Linked DNA regions of Coturnix japonica. The protein of the gene in region 1 interacts with the protein of each later gene in a biochemical or structural test. Links are inferred from orthologs where the notes say so. Each region holds a gene or a part of one and is shown on either strand. Other genes may lie near its edges. The genes, in order: TOP2A and PIAS4.

Evidence for each region.
Region 2: of the proteins of TOP2A (region 1) and PIAS4, one has a biochemical effect on the other in vitro, tested with the Homo sapiens proteins (2 studies listed by BioGRID). The link is inferred for Coturnix japonica from reciprocal best matches to the Homo sapiens genes TOP2A and PIAS4.

The regions. Positions count from the first base shown.
Region 1 is NC_029542.1:4,093,616-4,110,156, reverse strand, and holds the start of TOP2A (DNA topoisomerase 2-alpha), read left to right. Parts: upstream 1-2,665; 5' UTR 2,666-2,680; coding exon 2,681-2,977; intron 2,978-3,051; coding exon 3,052-3,198; intron 3,199-4,281; coding exon 4,282-4,372; intron 4,373-4,648; coding exon 4,649-4,712; intron 4,713-5,165; coding exon 5,166-5,311; intron 5,312-5,557; coding exon 5,558-5,655; intron 5,656-5,833; coding exon 5,834-6,046; intron 6,047-6,243; coding exon 6,244-6,417; intron 6,418-6,525; coding exon 6,526-6,627; intron 6,628-7,006; coding exon 7,007-7,144; intron 7,145-7,296; coding exon 7,297-7,435; intron 7,436-7,664; coding exon 7,665-7,822; intron 7,823-8,208; coding exon 8,209-8,334; intron 8,335-8,561; coding exon 8,562-8,672; intron 8,673-8,759; coding exon 8,760-8,865; intron 8,866-9,257; coding exon 9,258-9,367; intron 9,368-9,786; coding exon 9,787-9,879; intron 9,880-10,316; coding exon 10,317-10,431; intron 10,432-10,728; coding exon 10,729-10,850; intron 10,851-11,133; and 20 more. Other genes in the region: collagen alpha-1(III) chain-like, read left to right, coding at 4-31, 228-286, 390-524, 592-654, 721-789, 880-948, 1,153-1,347, 1,514-1,626 and 1 more. UniProt on the Homo sapiens protein: Key decatenating enzyme that alters DNA topology by binding to two double-stranded DNA molecules, generating a double-stranded break in one of the strands, passing the intact strand through the broken strand, and religating the broken strand.
Region 2 is NC_029543.1:789,525-793,490, reverse strand, and holds the start of PIAS4 (E3 SUMO-protein ligase PIAS4), read left to right. Parts: upstream 1-1,166; 5' UTR 1,167-1,257; coding exon 1,258-1,284; intron 1,285-3,626; coding exon 3,627-3,966.

The DNA.
Region 1 (16,541 bases):
CAGGCAGCGGCCAGCGCAGCCTGGGCAGTGGGTAAGGGGCTCTGCGGGTATTTGGGTGAACTCCTGCCTCCTTGGAAGCACTTTTGCAAAGCTTCGTGCCCTTGCACCAGGGCCATGGGGTTGTCCCGGTGTCCCCATGGTATCGGGGTGCCCCGTGACCCCAACCCTGCCCCTAAACCCAACCTCAACCCAACTCCAGTCCCACCTTTAACCCAAACCCTCCCCAGCTTCTCCAGATGCTGATATTCCCCACCCAGAGCCGCTGGAGCCCAGTGCCGACCTCCAGGTGCGTGGGGGGCTGTGCCCATGGGTTACCCCCAATGTGTAGGCGGCTCCCCCTGGGCAGGGGGTGTCAGCTGGGCCCTGACCCCCCTCCTTGTCCCTCCCAGCGCCAAACGTGGGTGTTCAGGTCGAAGGAGCTGATGTTGAAGTCCAGCAGCGCCATCCCCGAGGGCAGCCTGGTCTACGTGCGGGAGGGGAGCAGCGCCTTCCTGCGCACCCCCCGGGGCTGGAGCAGGCTGCTGGTACCGTCATGGGATTGGGGGGGGGGACACACACTGTGTCTGGTCCCACCTAACTGCCCTTCTGCAGCTGGAGGACTCGGAGTCGCTCTTTGCGGGTGACGACCCCTCCGCCGCCACAGCACAATACCAGGTGAGGCAAAGGGACAGACCCCCGGGGGGGGTGCCCCCCTGGGACTGCCCTCCCCTCTCCGTGCAGGAGGCAAAGCAGGCACGGACACGAGGTCCCAGCACAGAGCCACCCTCGGGGGTCCGGGCGGACTCAGTGGTGAGCAGAGGGATGGAGGTGGCACCTGGAGACCCCGGGTGGCAATGGGAGCACCCTGGGCACTGAGACTGCCATCCCCCACTATTGCAGGCCCTGCAGGAGGACGGAGCTGTGCTGCCCAGCACCCCGCCGACCACCGCAGCCCCCAGGATGCCCTCTGTAAGCGTTGCCCCATTTTCTGCCCCCTTCCAACCCCACGCTGCCTGGGGACCCCAACTCCACCCACCGTGTCCGTGGGTCTGCATAGGAAAAGCGATCTCAGTGCCCAGCGCGGGGGGCTGCAGTGCCCCATGGGGTGTGCGATGATGGCACACACCCCGGGACCCCCGGCCCCCCACGCTCTGCCCCCTGCTGTCCCCGCAGCTCCGCCTGGTGGCCCTGAACGTGCCCCTGTCCGGGGACATGAGCGGTATCCGCGGTGCCGACCTGCAGTGTTACCGGCAGTCCCACGAGGCCGGGCTCTACGGAACCTTCCGGGCGTTCCTGTCGGCCCCCAGCCAGGACCTGGCCTCCATCGTCAAGAGGACGGACAGGACCCTCCCCATCGTCAACCTGAAGGCAGGGCTTTATCCCCCCAGCAAGCACGGGCTCCCCGTGTGTTTTCCTTGCACCGAGACGCACCCACAGCCATTGCAATGGGGACAGCGGGCTTTGAGGAACGCTTGTCCCCCCCCCAAAGCTCACTGCCCCCCCCCAAAGCTCATTGCCCCCCCCGTGTCCTTAGGGCCAGCTGCTGGCTCGCTCCTGGAGCTCCCTCCTGCAGAGCCCGGCTGGAGCCGCCCTGCGCAGCCCCATCTACACGTTCAATGGGCGCAACGTGCTGAGCGATGCCCTTTGGTGAGTCCCGGCCCACGAAGGGTGGGATGTCGGGGGGTCTCCCCGGGGCTCCCCGTCATCCCGTCTCCCCGCAGGCCCCGCAGGTTGGCGTGGCACGGATCCACGGGGCGGGGCGGCCATTCCCAGCGCCGGGACTGTCAGGGCTGGCGGAGCTCCGGCCCCGGGGAGGGTCTGGCGGCCCCGCTGGGTCCGGGCCGGCTGCTGGCCGGGCAGCGCCGAAACTGCTCCGAGGAGCTGGCGGTGCTGTGCGTGGAGGTCGCCTTCCCGTACCGACACATGTGGTGAGAGACCCCCGGAATTGGGGGGGGCTGCGGCTGGGAGCAGCGGGACACCGGACACCCCGTCCATCACGGAGCCCCCCCCCCCCCCCCCACACACACACAGCGCCCACGTTTCCTCGGATATAAATAAAGGATCAATCAAAGCTGCACATCGGGCGGTTACAACGCGCTGCTTCTATTTGTTGCGTTCGGGATGGCACCAAATGGAACCGAATGGAACCAAATGGAACCGAATGGAACCGCCGTGCGGGATGAACGGGATGGGCGGGATGGGCGGGCGGGGATGGGGCTGATATGGGGCAGGTATGGGGCTGATATGGAGTTGATACGGGGCAGATATGGGGCTGGGATGGGGCAGATATGGAGCTGATATGGGGCTGATATAGGGCTGATATGGGGCTGATATAGGGCTGATATGGAGCTGATATAGGGCTGGGATGGGGCTGATATAGGGCTGGGATGGGGCTGATATAGGGCTGATATGGGGCTGATATGGGGCTGATATAGGGCTGATATTGGGCTGATATAGGGCTGATATGGAGCTGATATGGGGCTGATATGGGGCTGATATGGGGTTGATATAGGGCTGATATGGGGCTGATATAGGGCTGGATATGGGGCTGGATATGGGGCTGGATATGGGGCTGGATATGGGGCTGGATATGGGGCTGGATATGGGGCTGGATATGGGGCTGGGATGCCGCCGTGGTGCTGAGGATGGTTTTGGGGGGGCACAGTCCCGCACTGCCCCGCACGCCGCCGCCCCCCAAACGATGTACTGCGTGCCTCGCAGCGCCCTCCTTCCTCGCTCCTCTATTGGTTACCAGACCTGCCCATCAAGCAGCCCCCTCTCCCGACTGTCTGGTTTTGAAAGAGCGGAGCGCACGGGAGGGCGGGCCGTACGTCCCTCCGCCCTTCAGCGATTGGCTGTTTTCAAGGGGCGGTGCGCTGTGATTGGCGGAGCGTTTCGGCGGGCTCGGCGGAGGTTTGAAACGCGCTGCGCCGTTACCGGCCGCCATCACTCCGCGCCCGCCGCCATGGAGCTCATGGACTCACCGGCGCCGCTCCGGGTACGTGAGGGACCGACCAGACCCTCCCTCCATCCCTCCCTCCCCACCCCGCTGAGCTCCGCTCTCTCCCGCAGCCCCTTCACGACAACGCCCGGCTGCCCAAGGCCGATGTGGCGCAGAAGCGGCTCTCGGTGGAGCGCATCTACCAGAAGAAGACGCAGCTGGAGCATATTCTGCTGCGGCCGGACACGTACATCGGGTCTGTGGAGACCGTCACGCAGGTGGGGAGACCTGTGATGTGTGATATATGTGTGATATATGTGTGATGTATGTGTGATGTATGTGTGATGTATGTGTGATGTATGTGTGATGTATGTGTGATACATGTGTGATACATGTGTGATACATGTGTGATATATGTGTGATGTGATATATGTGTGATACATGTGTGATACATGTGTGATACATGTGTGATACATGTGTGATACATGTGTGATGTATGTGTGATGTATGTGTGATGTATGTGTGATGTATGTGTGATGTATGTGTGATATATGTGAGATATATGTGTGATATATGTGAGATATATGTGTGATATATGTGTGATATATGTGTGATATATGTGCTGTGTGTGGTGTATGTAATGTATGTGGTGTGTATGTGGTATATGTGGTGTATGTAATGTATGTGGTATGTGACATGTATGTGACATGTATGTGACATGGGGTGTATGTGACATGTATGTGACATGGGGTGTATGTGGTGTATGTAATGTATGTGGTGTATGTAATGTATGTGGTATATATGATATATGTGCTATATGTGGTGTGTGTAATGTATGTGGTGTCTGTAATGTATGTGGTATATGTGATATATGTGGTATATGTGGCAAATATGGTATATGTGGTGTATGTGGTATATGTAATGTATGTGGTGTATGTAATGTATGTGGTATATATGATATATATGTGATATATGTGCTATACATGGTGTATGTGATGTATGTGGTATATGTAATGTATGTGGTATATGTGATATATGTGGTATGTATTATATATGTGGTGTATGTATTGTATGTGGTATGTATATGTGGTGTATGTAATGCATGTGGTATATATAATATATGATATATGTGCTATATGTGGTGTATGTGATGTATGTGGTATATATGATATATGTGCTATATGTGGTGTGTGTAATGTATGTGGTATATATGGTATATGTGGTGTATGTAATGTATGTGGCATGTGTGATATATGTGGTGTATGTGGTATATATGATATATGTGGTGTATGTGATATATGTGCTATATGTGCTATATGTGGTGTATGTGTGTGCTGTATGTGGCTCCTTCTTCATTGCAGCAAATGTGGGTGTTCGATGAGGACGTGGGCCTCAACTGCAGGGATGTGACCTTCGTGCCTGGCCTGTACAAGATCTTCGATGAGATCCTGGGTGAGTGCAGCCCAGCATTGTACCTGCCCTCCAAAGGACACGGCCGCTGTGTTACAGCCCGTTTAACCCTCAGTTCTGCTGTGGGTGCTGTTATTGTAGCGTCCTTCTTTGTAACCTGCCAAACATCTCCCTTCCAAAGAGTTAATTGGTGGTTTTGCATTGGATCTTTGCATTTGTTCTACTGAAAACCCCACCTGATTTAGCCCTTTCACTATGGTTTATGTCTATTGTCCCACTTGTGAATGCGCTCTAATAAAAGTCACCTTCCCCTTCCAGTCAACGCTGCAGACAACAAGCAGAGGGATAAAAGCATGTCCTGCATCAAAGTTACCATCGACCCGTGAGTGCTGCTTTTGTCCAATGCCTTCCCCCCTCAGCTGCTTCATTCTCTCACTCCCTCACTGCCCTGTTGGTGTATGTACATCATCCTGTTGATGTAGGTGCTGCAGAGCTCAGTGTCGAGGCCTATTCATGTTAAACCTACCGTGGCTCATGGGCTGTAACAGCCTCATTCCTTGTGTGCTTCCTCGTTCTGTTGCAGAGCACTGACTGCCAGGCTGTGGTTGCACTGAGCACACGCTTTCTGTGTGCTGCTCCATTGTATTGGTGCTCTGCAGGTCTGAAGCTGGAGGGCTTTTTGTAGACTTGCCCTCCCTCTGCTGGCTGCTGCCGCAGTTGCTGAACAGGAATCTGTCTGTAGATGAAATGGTGGCCTTCCTGTGGAGATCTTGTCTATTTGTTTCAGAGCTCAGTCATCTGCAGCCTTACAAATTATACTTTCCTCCTCCTCCAGAGAGAATAACACCATCAGTGTGTGGAACAATGGGAAGGGTATCCCAGTTGTTGAACACAAAGTAGAAAAAGTGTATGTTCCTGCTTTAATCTTTGGGCAGCTGCTGACATCCAGCAACTACGATGATGATGAGAAGAAAGTCACAGGTAGGGAACACTGCAGAGCGTGCAGATGTACCTGGGCAGCCTGACTGTGTGATCTGGGAACTGAAGTACCTATATGAGTAACTGGTGTTAATTAAATGCAGCTTTATAGTGGCTGCAGGGTTTGTGGGACAGTTTATTGTTAGTCATACTTGGTGCTGAAATGAATGAGCTCTTGTTGGTCTGGAGTTCTCTCTGGTGGTTTTGAGCAAAGGTAACAACTCAGACATGTTTTCTTCCTGAATCCAGGTGGGCGAAATGGTTATGGAGCCAAACTGTGCAACATATTCAGCACCAAATTTACCGTGGAGACTGCGTGTCGTGAATACAAAAAGCTGTTCAAGCAGGTATGAACACTGCCCATTTCAGTGAGGTCACACCTGAGATTTGCAAATATGACTTGAGTTTTTCCTATGTGAATCTAGGTGTCATTGCTGTGACTAGAATTAACCTGGTACCTGTTAGATACTGTGCTGCTTTCTTGTGTTTGTTACACTCACAACTGACAACAACTCATCTCCTCAGACCTGGACAGACAACATGGGGAAGGCCGGTGAAATGACACTGAAGCATTTTGATGGGGAGGATTACACGTGTGTCACCTTCCAACCTGATCTGTCAAAGTTCAAAATGTCGATTCTTGACAAGGACATCGTGTCCCTGATGACAAGAAGAGCATATGATTTGGCTGGGTCATGCAAAGGAGTCAAAGTTATGTTGAATGGGAAGAAGTTGCCTGTAAGTGAGCATTTAAATGGGGGAACATCTGTGTTTCTTATGACATTTACCAGTGAAGTTTTGTTGAAGCAGTTTATGCCATTGCACATAATAAAATGAAAGCTTGCCAAGCAATTTTTCCTCCTGGCTTTGCAGGGGGATGTGCATTAAGTATTTATAGGAGCTGTTACAGATGAGTTGTCTGGTTTCATTTGTAGGTGAAAGGATTCCGCAGTTACGTGGACCTCTATCTGAAGGACAAAGTGGATGAGACTGGAAATGCACTTAAGGTTATTCATGAGGAAGTGAATTCCAGGTGGGAAGTGTGCTTGACTTTAAGTGAAAAAGGATTCCAGCAAGTTAGCTTTGTCAACAGCATTGCCACCACAAAGGTGATTCTTTTGCTCCCGTGCTCACATTCACTTCATATTCTTTGTTGTTGGCTCTGTGTTTTGGTTCAGTGGAGTCACCTCAGGTTCTTTGGTCCCGTTTTCCCCCAGGGTGGCAGGCACGTTGATTACGTAGCTGACCAGATTGTGACTAAACTCATTGATGTTGTGAAAAAGAAGAACAAAAATGGAGTTGGAGTGAAACCGTTTCAGGTGCGATGTCAGAATTCCCAACTAAAGAAGCCCCATATATTCCAGTTTAAGCCACCAAGCCATATTCCCTTTGTTTAGCTGCAGCAATCAGAGTGCTCTGGGTCAGTAAGGAAGCATTACAGCTCAGTAGCTGTTAGGTTTTCTTTAGTGGGAGGGCTGCTGATGTCTTGGCACCCCAAATCATGTAACTTTGTGAACACTCATTAGCTGTCCTAAATTCTGCCAAAAGACATCTAGGAAAGTTCAAAAACCACGCAGCAATAATTGAACTTGTTTTCCTCGCTGCATGATGCTGACAGGTGATTCTCAGGAAGAAAACACTGCTGTTCCAGGGAGTGGAGCCTGTGCAGTTTGTAATGCTCGTCTTGTTTGCCTGCAGGTGAAGAATCACATGTGGATTTTTGTGAATTGCTTGATTGAAAACCCAACCTTTGACTCTCAGACTAAAGAGAATATGACTCTGCAGGCCAAGAGCTTTGGCTCGACGTGCAAGCTGAGTGAGAAATTTATCAAGGGTGTAAGTATTGGTGTGTGTGGATAATCAGCACGTCTGTAAAGCTGCAACTAACATGGCAAATACATGGCTTACAAAGTCATGAATTAAAGGAAAACATAACTTAAAGCTTTTCCCACTGTTGATTTTGTTCTGTAATTTTGTTGGCATTGCAGGCAGTTGGCTGTGGCATTGTTGAAAGTATCCTAAACTGGGTAAAATTTAAAGCTCAGACCCAGCTGAATAAGAAATGTTCAGCTGTGAAGCACACCAAGATTAAGGGCGTTCCTAAACTGGATGATGCCAATGATGCTGGTAAGTATTTCACATCCTTTGTAGCCAGTTTCTTCAGAGATAACATTTGCTCACCAGGCAAATGAAACAATCATCTAAAGAAAACGCCAGCTTGTGCTCGTTTTGCATTGCAGTTTGTGCAGTGCAGCCAGACCTGTATATTTTATGGTGTCTCCTGCAGCCTGTGCTATATTAGCCTTGACTTCACTTCTTAATTGGAAGACTTGGGTTTTTGCTTTTTGTTTTTCAGGCAGCAAGAATTCAATAGATTGTACACTCATCCTGACCGAGGGAGACTCAGCCAAAACGCTGGCTGTCTCTGGTTTAGGAGTGGTTGGTAGAGACAAATATGGAGTATTTCCCCTTCGTGGGAAAATGCTCAACGTCAGGGAAGCTTCTCATAAACAGGTTAGTGGGGAGACCTTAATAGCCTGTGCTGGGAGCTGTGGTGTGCTTCATGTCATGCAGTGTGGGTACAGCTGAGGGCTTTTGATGCTGTAACTCAAAGGTGTGGGTCTGGTCTCACGTTCAGATTGCCTTTCTGATTAAGCAGGAATACTAAGCAAATCCCGGGCAGTGCTTTGCATTTGTGCTGTGGGCTAGGAAATGTTCTAGGAAATGTTTGAAATAGCCCTGAGAAATTTAAAGATTAGACACTGGGTTGGAATTAATGAGATGCTCTAAACAGAGGAAACTCTGGGAAGGCAGAGCACGGTTAGGGGTGTACAGCCGATGGGTGTCTTTGCTGTTTTGAGTCTGGTAGAAAAGTTTTTATTCCTTGTGATCTTTTCCAGATAATGGAAAATGCTGAAATCAACAACATCATCAAAATTGTGGGTTTACAGTATAAGAAGAATTACGAGGATCGAGAATCTTTAAAGACTCTTCGCTATGGGAAGATCATGATTATGACAGATCAGGTTAGGCTCACTGAAATTCAAAACTGGAGAAATTTGTTCACCACAAATGTGTCTCTTCCTTCTGTTAACTTTCAGTACTCAAAGCGTGGCTGCTTCTTTGGAACTGAAAGTTAATAGTTCTCAGTAGCTGGGTTTGTGTGTATCCTCATTATTGAACTAACAACTGGCACGGCCATCAGGGCTCTGGTTAAACTTGTACTTCTCTCCAAAATAAAACCACCAAACAGGATCAAGATGGATCTCATATCAAAGGTTTGCTGATTAACTTCATCCATCACAACTGGCCTTCTCTTCTAAGACACAACTTCTTGGAGGAATTTATTACCCCCATCATAAAGGTAAGGGCTGAGGAGGTTGGAAGGTGAGGGAATAGGATCATGTTGGACCACATCTGCTTTCACAATTAACATCTTCATTCTCTTTAGGTCTCTAAAAACAAAGAAGAAATTGCATTCTACAGCATTCCTGAGTTTGAAGAATGGAAAAACAGCACACAAAACTACAACACATGGAAAATCAAGTACTACAAAGGTTTGTAGGAAACCTGATATGGTGAAGGCAAGTTTGTTATTAAACTTAGTTAGTCCAGCTTCTGCAGAAAAAAGGGGGTTTGGAGCAGGTGGCCTCCAAAATTCACTTCCCTCCTAAACTGCTCTGAATGGCTGCATGCTGGTAAGGGAGCTGCCAGCTGCATAACAACAGCCGGGTGGTGAGGAATCCAGACTAAAAGTGCAACTGCCCAGTTGTCTTCAATCCCCACTACTTCTGTGATACCTTACATCCCAGCAAAGGTTTTAATAGAACCATCTTCATGCTGTGCATTTATGTGATGTATTACGGAAATTGGATATAGTAATGCCTTCCTTTGAAGTGCAACTTAATTGAAGCAAGAAATTAGGGCTGACTAGTTGTTGGTTCTGCAGGTTTGGGTACCAGCACATCGAAGGAGGCAAAGGAATACTTTGCAGATATGGCTAGACATCGAATTGGCTTCAAGTACTCTGGTCCAGAAGATGATGCTGCCATCACCCTGGTAACTTACACTTGACTTAATTGCTGATTTACTACCTTGAGTATTTTGCTGCGTATTTTCTCTTAAAATGCTCTCAGAGGCCTTTGGGCCTGAGATGGTCTCTTTGTTACCAAGGCTACAGCCTCAGTTCAACCAGTAGAAGCAAATCTGTCCACAGACCTCAGGCCAGGAGCACCCTTTCAATGATGGCTTTTAAATATAGCTCAGAACAAACTATAACCACTACAAACCAATTGACATTTTCAGACACAATAGTAAATATTCCTTCAGCATTATTCTGTGTGTTTACCTGCAGTTTCCTCTGAGCTAAACCTCTCCTTTCTCCTCTAAAATTTTTTCTCCTGAAATGGTTCACCAGTGTTCCAGTAGGGCACACAGAATGTCCCAGAACTTGAATTATTTCTTAATTTGCAACACAGGCCTTTAGTAAGAAGAAGGTAGAAGAACGAAAGGAATGGCTGACTAATTTCATGGAGGATAGAAGACAGCGGAAGCTGCATGGCCTGCCGGAGGTAAAGAGTTTATGTATATGGAGGAATTTGATTTCCCATCTCCCTGTTCTCAGTTTAATTCTGACACGCTAGGGCTGGATGCAGTGTAGGCATTGGGTTACGCACAGGACTGATAGGTAATGCTTTGGGATTCTGCAGACCTGCTGCTCCTTTTTGCATTGTATAACCTCAGTGTCATCAAGTCGATCATTCTTTCCATTTCTAACTCTTTCAAACTACTTTATTCAAAAGGGAAATGGCAGCTTGAGCAGAACTAGGTGAAGGTGTTTCAGGGGAAGCATTGTTTTGTTTTTCCATGCTGAGAATGTCGTCACCTTCGCTGTGTTTACCTGTAGTCTTACCAGGATCTTCCATTTTAGTGAAACTAGCCAAGTGTGAGCTAAGAAACAGGTTAAGCCTTGTTAAAATTAAAGCGCTCTTGCATTTGTTTTTCTTAGGACTACCTGTATGGGAAAGATACTAATTACCTGACATACAACGACTTCATCAACAAGGAGTTGGTCCTGTTCTCAAACTCAGATAATGAAAGATCGATCCCATCCCTGGTTGATGGTAAGTTATTTCAAGGCAGTGATTTCATACAGGGCTTTCCCAGGACGCACTGAGGGATGTTTTGGTGTGTCCTACCAGAACGGTTGTTTGGGTGCATTTCAGGGTTTGTGTTCTGAACTCCACTTTTCTACCTTCCAAGTGTTTTAACCTTTGGATTAAATGTCTTCTCTGCTCTATATTTAACTCCAGTGGTGCAGAATCTTCAGGTCTCTAAGTTACTGTTAGTCTCTAGAGAACGGAAGATAAGTGAAACATATTGTGAGTCTGAAACACGAGGTCTTTTTTTTCTCTGTGCAGGTTTAAAACCAGAGCAGCGCAAGGTTTTGTTCACTTGCTTTAAGAGAAATGATAAACGTGAAGTAAAGGTTGCTCAGCTGGCTGGTTCTGTTGCTGAAATGTCAGCTTATCACCATGGGGAGGTAAGAACCCGCTCATTGTGCAAAATGCTTGAAGAAAAGCAGAAATCTCTCAATTTCATGAGATTGGCCACTCTGCCCATCTTACCTGCAGCTCAGGGGAACGTGTTTCATTAAGAAAACAGAACGGGAAAAACCTGCTTTATTTGTGATGGATATGAGAGGATATCTTTTATTAGCTGAATTTATCTTCTATATTGGTTCTGTTCTCAGTGTAAATTTTACCTTAACGTTGTCCTTTCAGTGAAGAATTAACACTTTTATAATTGAACCTTCTTTCGTGCAGGCATCGCTGATGATGACTATTGTCAACTTGGCTCAGAACTTTGTTGGAAGTAACAATGTTAATCTTCTACAACCTATTGGTCAGTTTGGTACCAGGCTTCATGGTGGAAAGGATGCTGACAGCCCTCGCTGTATTTCCACTATGCTAAGGTTGGCATTAAAGTGTTGTTAAGTATTTTCAGCATTGTTACAAGACTCTATTTAACAGCATTTAAAATGAAAAGTAATGTTTTCCCCTAAAGTATCTGAAACTGCACCATTTGAATACAAAAGAGCAGCCACAGTCTGTGGGACTTTGATTCTAGATCCAGATGTGTGAACTTGGTTTGCTGTCCTACAGAACAGATAGGAACAGCATGGAATGCAGAAATGAGAGCAAAACAAACACCCAGACTGGTTCATATGGTGGGGAATAAAACATGCCATGATCTGTTTGGTCTGACACTGGAGGTTCTTTTTACATTGCAGGCACTGTTGTGTAATGAGAATTTGGTCTGACCTTCTCTTTTCTCTTCTAGCCCTTTAGCCAGGCTTCTTTTTCCACCAGTGGATGACAACTTGCTGAAATTCCTTTATGATGACAACCAACGTGTAGAGCCTGAATGGTATATGCCCATCATTCCTATGGTTTTAGTAAACGGAGCTGAAGGAATCGGTACTGGATGGGCTTGCAAACTTCCAAACTATGATACCAGAGAGATTGTAAACAACATCAGACGAATGCTGGATGGAAACGAACCGCTGCCGATGGTAAATGATGTATTCAAGAATCAACGTCTCATTTGTTGGTTTATTCAGCATATATTGAAGCATATGCTGCTTTTTTTTTTTTGAGTGCTTGCAATCCAGTGTTTGGTTTCTTTCCTTCTTAGCTTCCCAGCTACAGGAATTTCAAAGGCACAATAGATGAGCTTGGACCTAACCAGTATGTGATAAGTGGTGAAGTGTCTATCCTTGATTCTACAACCATTGAAATCACTGAGCTGCCTGTCAGAACATGGACACAGGTAACGAATGCTGAATTTGCCCTGTAAAGTAAAAAGTGAATATTAGTGTTCATTAACTTTTCATCTCTGTAGAACCACAGGTCTGACTTTGATTCTTTTCTCAGACCTACAAAGAGCAAGTTCTGGAACCTATGTTGAATGGAACTGAGAAGACCCCCCCATTAATTACTGACTACAAGGAATACCACACTGATACGACTGTGAAATTTGTTGTGAAGATGACAGAAGAAAAACTTGCACAGGCAGAAGCTGCTGGATTGCACAAAGTCTTTAAGCTTCAAACAAGTCTTACTTGCAATTCTATGGTATGTAATAGATTTTGATGAAGAGAGTTTCTAAATTCACCTTTAAAAGGTGAAGAGACTGACTTGGCAGTGGGTCCCACATGGTGTGGATTTGACTGTAGGTGTCAAAGCGATCTGAAATCTCTCAGTCCCTGGAGCCCCTTGCTGTGCCCAGGACACACCACTGAATGTCCAGGTCCTGACAGCGTGTGATGTTAGATGCAAGAAATGGATCCAACAAATAGCTTTAAGATTGAAGTGATGTTAGCTCTGTGTTTTTAAGTTCTAAAATGGTCTCTGCTGCTGTGCTTGCAAGCTGAAATAATTTCTGAAACAACACTAAGGTTTAAAATGGGTTGGTTAATAAATAAGTTGACTGTAGGATCATGTCTGCGTTACAACTGACTTTCAGTGGTTTTGAAGATCAGTTTTATGCTCACAAAACCCATGTTCTTTCATCCAGGTTCTTTTCGACCATGTTGGTTTCCTCAAGAAGTACGAGTCTCCTCAGGACATCCTTAAAGAGTTCTTTGAGCTCAGGCTCCGGTACTATGGGTTAAGGAAAGAGTGGCTTATTGGGATGCTGGGTGCCGAGTCTGCAAAGCTGAGCAACCAGGCTCGATTCATCCTGGAGAAAATAGATGGCAAAATTGTGATCGGTACGTGCTGCTCTTGGTTCTTTGGCTTTTGAAACTGGGAGAATTAGGTGCTCTCTTGAGCTCTGTCAGCGCCCTCTCAGCCCCAGTCTGGCTATTCACAAAACACATCAGAGCTTATCTTTCCATTCTAGTAAGATAGAAGAGGAAAATGCTTCACGGAACATCCTCTGTAGTGTTATGCACATATAAATTAAAACAGAGCACTCTCAGAGGTTTTCTATTGTGTATTTGCACTACTTCAAAAGTATAAATGTAGGAAAAGAAGTGCTGGTGTGGGGGGCTGGGGGGGGTTCCCAGTTGGTTTGGGTTTTCTGTTCCCGTGCATTCTTAGGAGCCTGTATCTTCTCTGTGTTATCTTTATGAAACTGCAAAATATTCCAAATTGTGTTCTCAGTGAAGTGGAGTTTCAAAGTTAGAAGGCAGCCAAGCTCACAGCATCTGAGCATCATGAGCTAGAAAAAGAAACAGGTCTTTGTTTACAGCACTTGAACTTCTCAGCCAGCTCCAGCTCAGCCTACAAGGCAGTCTGTATTTCACTTGCATGTATGGAAGGCACAGCTGCACAATGGGTCATGGGATGCTCTGTGGTTCGTGTCTGAGGGCTGCCCAGTGTTCCTACAGTCTGTGTCTGTTTGACTCAAGAAGGGAAATCGTTCCCTTGCAATGCGTTTCCTTGGGTTGCTGCAATAAGCAGTTCCAAGGCTGACAGAGCTGGTTTCATTTGTATTTGTGTCTCACGGATGATTGCCTCTGCGACATCAGAAAGAAGAAAATTCCAGCTGACGCATTACCATTGGCTGGGCCATTTATAGAATAGATTTCCCAAGTGATGCCCAATGAGGCTCACACTATGCTGAAGCCTTGAAGTCACATCAGGGCTTTTTCCCCCACCTGCCTGTTATAAAACCATTCTGATCCCATCACGCTTCCTTTTTTTCCCCAAACTCAGAGTCTGTTTAGGGCAGGGGAAATGCATGTACGGAAATGATGGAGCAAATGTTTCGAGTGCTCCAGCAGGTGTTCCTGACAGCCCAGGAGAAATGCTGAGCTAACAAATCGCTCCTAAATAGCAAATTTTGGGTGTTATTTTAGGACCTGCCACGTGTCCCAGCTCGAATTAGGAAAGGCTGTTTTAGAGCTGTATAGGATGCTGAACTGTTTTAACTACTGGAGTCAAAATGTGAAGGTCATTTGTCTTTGCTGACAGGGACTGCAGTGGTCACTAACTGGCAATTCTGAAATGTCTCTTCACAGAAAACAAACCCAAGAAAGAACTGATTCAAGTTCTTATCCAAAGAGGATATGAATCAGATCCAGTGAAGGCCTGGAAGGAATTGCAAAACAAGGTAGCACTTCAGTCATCAATTCGTTATCAGTTCTTAGGAAGAAGCAGAAGCTGCTTTGCCATTTGGAGAATTCAAGAGCTGGTGTGCCTGATAGGGAAAGCGAGACAAAGAAATGTTCAGTCTCTCATTTGGAAGGCACTGAGGCAGAGTGGTGACTGATCCAGCAGTGGCAAAGTCCTGCTGCTTCCATTTCCAGTGCTCCTCAAGCGATCTGCTCTTCCTGAGCGACTTGTTGTAAAAGGGCAGCAAGGACGATGGCAATTGTTAAGCAGCCTGAGAAGAACTTGGTTGCTCAAGACAGAGGCCAAATAGGGCAGAGCAAAAGAGCTTTAAAGAATTCTTTGCAGTTGGTCTCCTCTGTGTGGTAGCAGCTTTCAGGCCATAATTCCTTCTGTATCCTTTTCAGAATTGTGCTTTAAGAGGGTCCAGGACACTGTGAGCACATGGCAGCCCTGTCATTGTATGTGGCTGTATTTGCTGACAATGTTTGATTAAATTCTCATTCAGGAGGAAGAAGAAGAAGGAGATGAGAGTGACCAGGAACCAGCTGCAGCTACGGGGCCGGATTTCAACTATCTTCTGAACATGCCCCTTTGGTACCTGACTAAGGAGAAGAAAGATGAGCTCTGCAAGCAGAGAGATAACAAAGTATGCTCCTTATTTTTCTGATGAAAGCATTCTATTTTTCTATGATGGGTTAAACTATGCGGCTCACCCACGATTCTCATTCACTTTAGGAAAAGGAGCTGGAAGACCTGAAGCGCAAGAGCCCCTCTGACCTGTGGAAAGAAGACCTTGCTGCCTTTGTTGAAGAGCTGGATGTACGTCAGTGCTCTGAACAGATGATTGGCTCCCTTGTAGCTTTATCCAGTTATTAACTGAATTCTTTGCCATACAAAGGAAACAACAGATGGAAATTTGTATGTCTTGCATTAGGTTCACTCCAATAGGAGTTAAAGCTTTCTTTGCCTTCCTAGGATAGGGTAGGAGTACTGTGCTGGGGGGCAGGCAGTCAAACCACCAAGGAGGCTGGGGTATTTTCCAGTAGGACACTGGCTTTTATTCTCATGGTTGTGTTACTTTATGTTTGATTCTGCAGGCGGTAGAAGCCAAGCAAATGCAGGATGAAATGGCAGGGATAACTGGCAAACCTTTAAAGGCAAAAGGAGGGAAACAAGGAGGGAAGCAAAAGGTGACAAAGGCACAGCTGGTGGAAGTGATGCCGTCACCTCATGGCATAAGGGTTGTTCCTAAGATCACTGCAGAAATGAAGGCGGAGGCAGAAAAGAGAACTAAAAAGAAGATAAAGGTAAGAAATATATGGATGCTCCAAACACTGTTATTAGATCTTCCCCAATACAGGCAGTCCTGTAGAAACACGTTCTTGTTAGCTGAACTTAACCGTGCCATTCAGCTTCCTGCAGCCTGAAATACAGAAATGGCTGTATTTCTGTATATATATCCACCTGTGCTGGCCTGCAGTCAGCTGCTGCTCCTTTCCTCTGGATGATTCCATCTAACAGCTTTTCCAGTTACATTTGCACTGTTGATTTCACTCACCCTGTTTGAGTTCTGCATCCCCAACACGCCCCGGGGCTGTGCCATCAGCACACAGGCAGTCCCAAGGCACGCTCAGGTGTGGCCATAAAGTTCCTGCTTGTGTTGTGCCTGACCTGGTGGTACTTTGCCTGATGTACTCAGTAGTGATCGATTGCAGATGATCTGTTTTTTTTTTCTACATTGCCAACCCTAGTACATAGAAACCAAACTTCTCCTTTCTGCGCCTCTCCCAGCTGTGAGTTCACTTCCCATCTATTTGATGATATCTGCTTTTGTCTTCAGAGTGAAAAAAATGAGTCTGACGAGAAACAAGAAGGAAACTCGTCGGGGGATAAAGAGCCCTTGGGCCTTAAGCAACGATTAGCACAGAAGCGTAAAGCCGAGCAAGGTAAACACGTTGTGTTATTCCATCATGGAAAGTGAGGGGAAGGGCGGCTGGGCTCAGTTATCTGCCTCTTCCCAGAGTGCTGAGTGACATCCAGGGTTGGTATGTTTGGAAAAAATAGGTGAGGGAGATACGATATAAAGGGATCCTGGCTAACAGCCCGGCTGG
Region 2 (3,966 bases), on another chromosome or scaffold:
AACGCTGACGTCAACCGCCCCCCTTTTATAGGGCGGCGCCGGCCGGAAGGAGGAGCCTACGCGTGCGCGTGCGCAGATGCGACTATCTAGCACCCCCCGCTGCCGGCAGCTCTATGGTCGGGCGGTCAGGTCCTCCGAGGGCCGCAGTCAGGATCCACGCGGTCCCCGCTCAGAACCCGCAGCGGAAACAACGCGGTCACAGCGGGTACAACCCGGACAACGTGCCCGGGGCGCTGCTCAAGGCCTCGAGAGCGGCTCCGCCTTTACCCGGAGCGCTGGGCCGTCCAAAGCGGCACCGGGCCGGGCTGGGCGAGCACCGCCCATAGCGGCGTCTATGGACTAGGTGCGCATGCACCGGCCGGAACTGCGGAGGGCATGGAGCTCACTAGCGCCCCCTGCAGGCCGGGAGGAGCGGGGGTGGGCAGGGGGCTGCAATGGAGGCACGGGATGGAAGTAGTGTGATGTCTGTGTTATGGAGCGCAAATATCAGCTCGAAAACTGGAGGTCTTCTATTGAGACATCAATAGATTCCTCTATCTATAGAGCCCTCTGATCCCTCTATCAATAGATGGGTTTTGAGTGATGTTTTCTAGTTGATGAGCCTCACTGCAACTTAGGGACACGCTGCTGGCCCCATTGTGTTATTGTTATTATTAGGATTAGGACCCCATTATTATTGTTATTAGGATTGTATTCAGAGAGACTGACAACACAGCACCCAACCTGACACCCCAGCCATACGTAAGGAACTCAGGACACTGGTAAGCCAGTCCGAGCACACTGTCTGTGATGTCAATTAGGCTGAAAGGCAGCCAGGCAGGTATCCCCATCACCGGCTCCCATAGGCTAAATACATTACAAATATCACCATGCTCAGAAGCTGGGACTATAAGCACATATAGGCATATAATGACCCTCAGTCCTAACCCGTCCCCTTCCCTCTCCCCGTACCCATGTAAGGCAGCCCACAGGTAAAGAAAAGAAAGCAGGAGAGCTGTCATTAGCTCTGCTGTCCTCCCTCCATCCCCGCATCCTCCATCCTCTCCGTCCCGTTTTAGGGGCGCGGTCCCTTTAAGACCCCCGGAAGGCGGAGCGGGGCGGGGTGGCTCTATTGCGCCTGCGCGTTGCGGCGGCGGCCTCCGAGGTGAGGAACTCGAAATTGATTGGTCGACGCGTCTCCCGCGCGCCCCTCCCCTCGCCGCTAGGCGTCACGTGACCCGGCGGCGGCTCCCGGCGCGGTGGACGCTGGAGGCCAAGATGGCGGCGGAGCTGGTGGAGGCCAAAGTGAGTGAACGGCGGCGGCGGAGGCGGCTCGGAGAGACCGGGCCGGGCGGGAGCGGGATGAGGGCTCAGCTGCCGCCCCTCACAGCGCGGAACCGGCGGCGGGCGGGGCGGTTCGACGGGTGGGAGCTGGGGGGCGGCACCCCGGGACCGCCCCCCCCCTCCCCGCCATCCCGGTTCGTTGTCCCGTTTTACCTCAGGGCCGAACATCCCCGGGATGAGGCCTGTGCGGGGCTAAAGGCCTCGGGGCGGGGCGGCAGCAACGGGGCTGCCCTGCATCCATCTCCTGTCACAGCCCACAAGGGACAAGGGCTGCTTGTGGTGGCAATGGGAGGGCGGGGGGCGGCCCAACTGAGTGCCCACCCTATAACCTGTAACCTATAGCCTATAACCTGTAGCCTATAAACTATAGCCTATAACCTATAGCCTATAACCACCCAGTGTTTGAGTTGGGGGGGGCTGTGAGTGCCCCCCTGTAATATATAACCTATAACCTATAACCAACCAGTGTTTGAGTTGGGGGGGGGGCTGTGAGTGCCCCCCTATAACCTATAACCTGTAACCTATAACCACACAGTGTTTGGGGGGGGCTGTGAGTGCCCTGAGTGCCCCCCTATAACCTATAACCACCCACTGTTTGGGGGGGGGCTGTGGAGCTCCTGACCCCCCCACTCAGTGCTCCCCCAATATTGAGTTATTATGGGGCTCATAGAGAGGTTGTGTGGCACTCTTGGCTCTATGGTGCAGCTGTTTGAAGGGATCCGCTTGGTTGAGCCCATCCCTGCAGTGGGGTCTCTATGGGGTTGGGGTCAGCCAACAAGCAGGGATGTGGCTGAAAGGAGACGTTTTATGAGGCCCTCTGGTCCCCATCTCACAGCTGTTCGGCCCCTCTTGGTTGCTGTGGGCCCAGGACCCCTCTGCAGGAGATGTGCTGCCTCCTTTACACAGCACAGCTGATGCTCGGAGCCAGGATGGAGCTGACCTCAGTGCTAAGGGATCTCAGCGCTTCATGCAGATCCCAGCCTCAGTGACACGTTGTTATTGTTTAATGAGACTTGCTCTGGAGCAATACAGGTCCTGAATCTAAGGCTGAAGGCTGTTGGTTCCGACCCCAAAGGCTGTTGGTTCTGCAGCAGAAGTGCCAAGTGAGTTGTGCTGTGGGAGCAGTGAGCGTAGGAGCGCTGCTGTGCTGCTGGGAGCAGCGTTGTGGCCGTGCCGTGCTTATCTTTGCTGATACACGTTTATCCTTGAATGTGCCCCAGTGAAGACGGCACGCTCTCCGTTCTGTACCGTTCTGAAGCACAAACTAAATTCCTCCAGGGTCACACAGGTGCTGCATCACAAAGCAATGAACCCACATCTCTTGTCATAGCAGTTAAATGTCCTTCTCTCCTCTTGCAAGTTGTCTGTTTCCTTCCCTCTCCTTCTGGGAGAGCAGAGCCCCGTCCTATGGCTGCTTCTGCTCTTTGCTGTGGGATGGCAGAGGTCTTGAATTCCTGTGTTTTCCACAATCTATGGAAGCTGCGGAGGGGGTACACATGGTTGGCTATCAAGTGGACTCTTAGGGCAGCTTGAATCTTGACAAAAACCTGCTTTATAAGCTTGATGGCCCTTTGCCATGCAAGACAAGCATGACGTCCATCTGACTGCTTTCAGCAGAGGCCATTTCTAGCTCCTAGTCTGCTGTAGCATTGGACTCCCTTTAAACCTGCTGATGGTTCCAGGCCTCCTGAGCTCCCACAGCAGCAGGAAAGTGCATTAGTGAAGGTAGGGATTGTTTTCACCTCTTATCAAAGCACTGACATCCCCAGCAGCAGCCCTGGGTGCTGGCTGTGAGCGTGGGGGAGTGCTTGGCAAAGCCCCCGCCTGCAGGCATTGTTCTCATGGGAACGCACTGCTCTCTTCAGTCTTCTCTTCCCATAGCTGGAAATATACGTGCTCGGTTCTTTCTTCAGGTTCTACATGTCTAAGAAGAGCTCTAGAGGGTTTGTTTTGCCTGTGGAAACAGCACAGAGGTGCACTGAAGGACCAGCAGCCCCCTTCACTTTAGTGTTCTGTTTTCTCCCTTCTTTTGCTCTTTAAACCCTTCAGAGACTCAGGGAAGTGCTTTAAGCTCCTGCCTGGTGTTAATACACTGAGCTGCACTGACACCAGTATGATGTGTGTTGGAGTTTTCTCCTCCGTGCTCACTGTTAGAATCATTGTTGGGTGTCTATCACTTTATTGAGTGACTCGTGTTCTGTGGTCTGGGTGGGTCGGTGGGTTCCGAGCCATAGAGAACAGGAAGAACTTTCTCTTTGCCTTCGTATCACTGTAAGAACATCTTTAATTTTTTTATCCCCTAGAACATGGTGATGAGTTTCCGAGTCTCAGATCTTCAGATGTTGCTGGGTTTTGTTGGCAGGAGTAAAAGCGGACTTAAACACGAACTAGTCACCAGAGCATTGCAGCTGGTCCAATTTGACTGCAGCCCTGAGGTTTTCAAGAAGATCAAGGAGCTCTACGAGACCCGTTATGCCAAGAAGAGCTCCGAGGCCCCGCAGCCGCACCGCTCCCCTGAGGCACTCCCCATTCACTCTTCATACGACCGTGGGAGCGCCATGGCTCGGACTTCTATCTCCACCCCCAACATTGACTATCCCACTCTCTATGGGAAATACCTGAACGAACTGGGCAGGTTGCCCC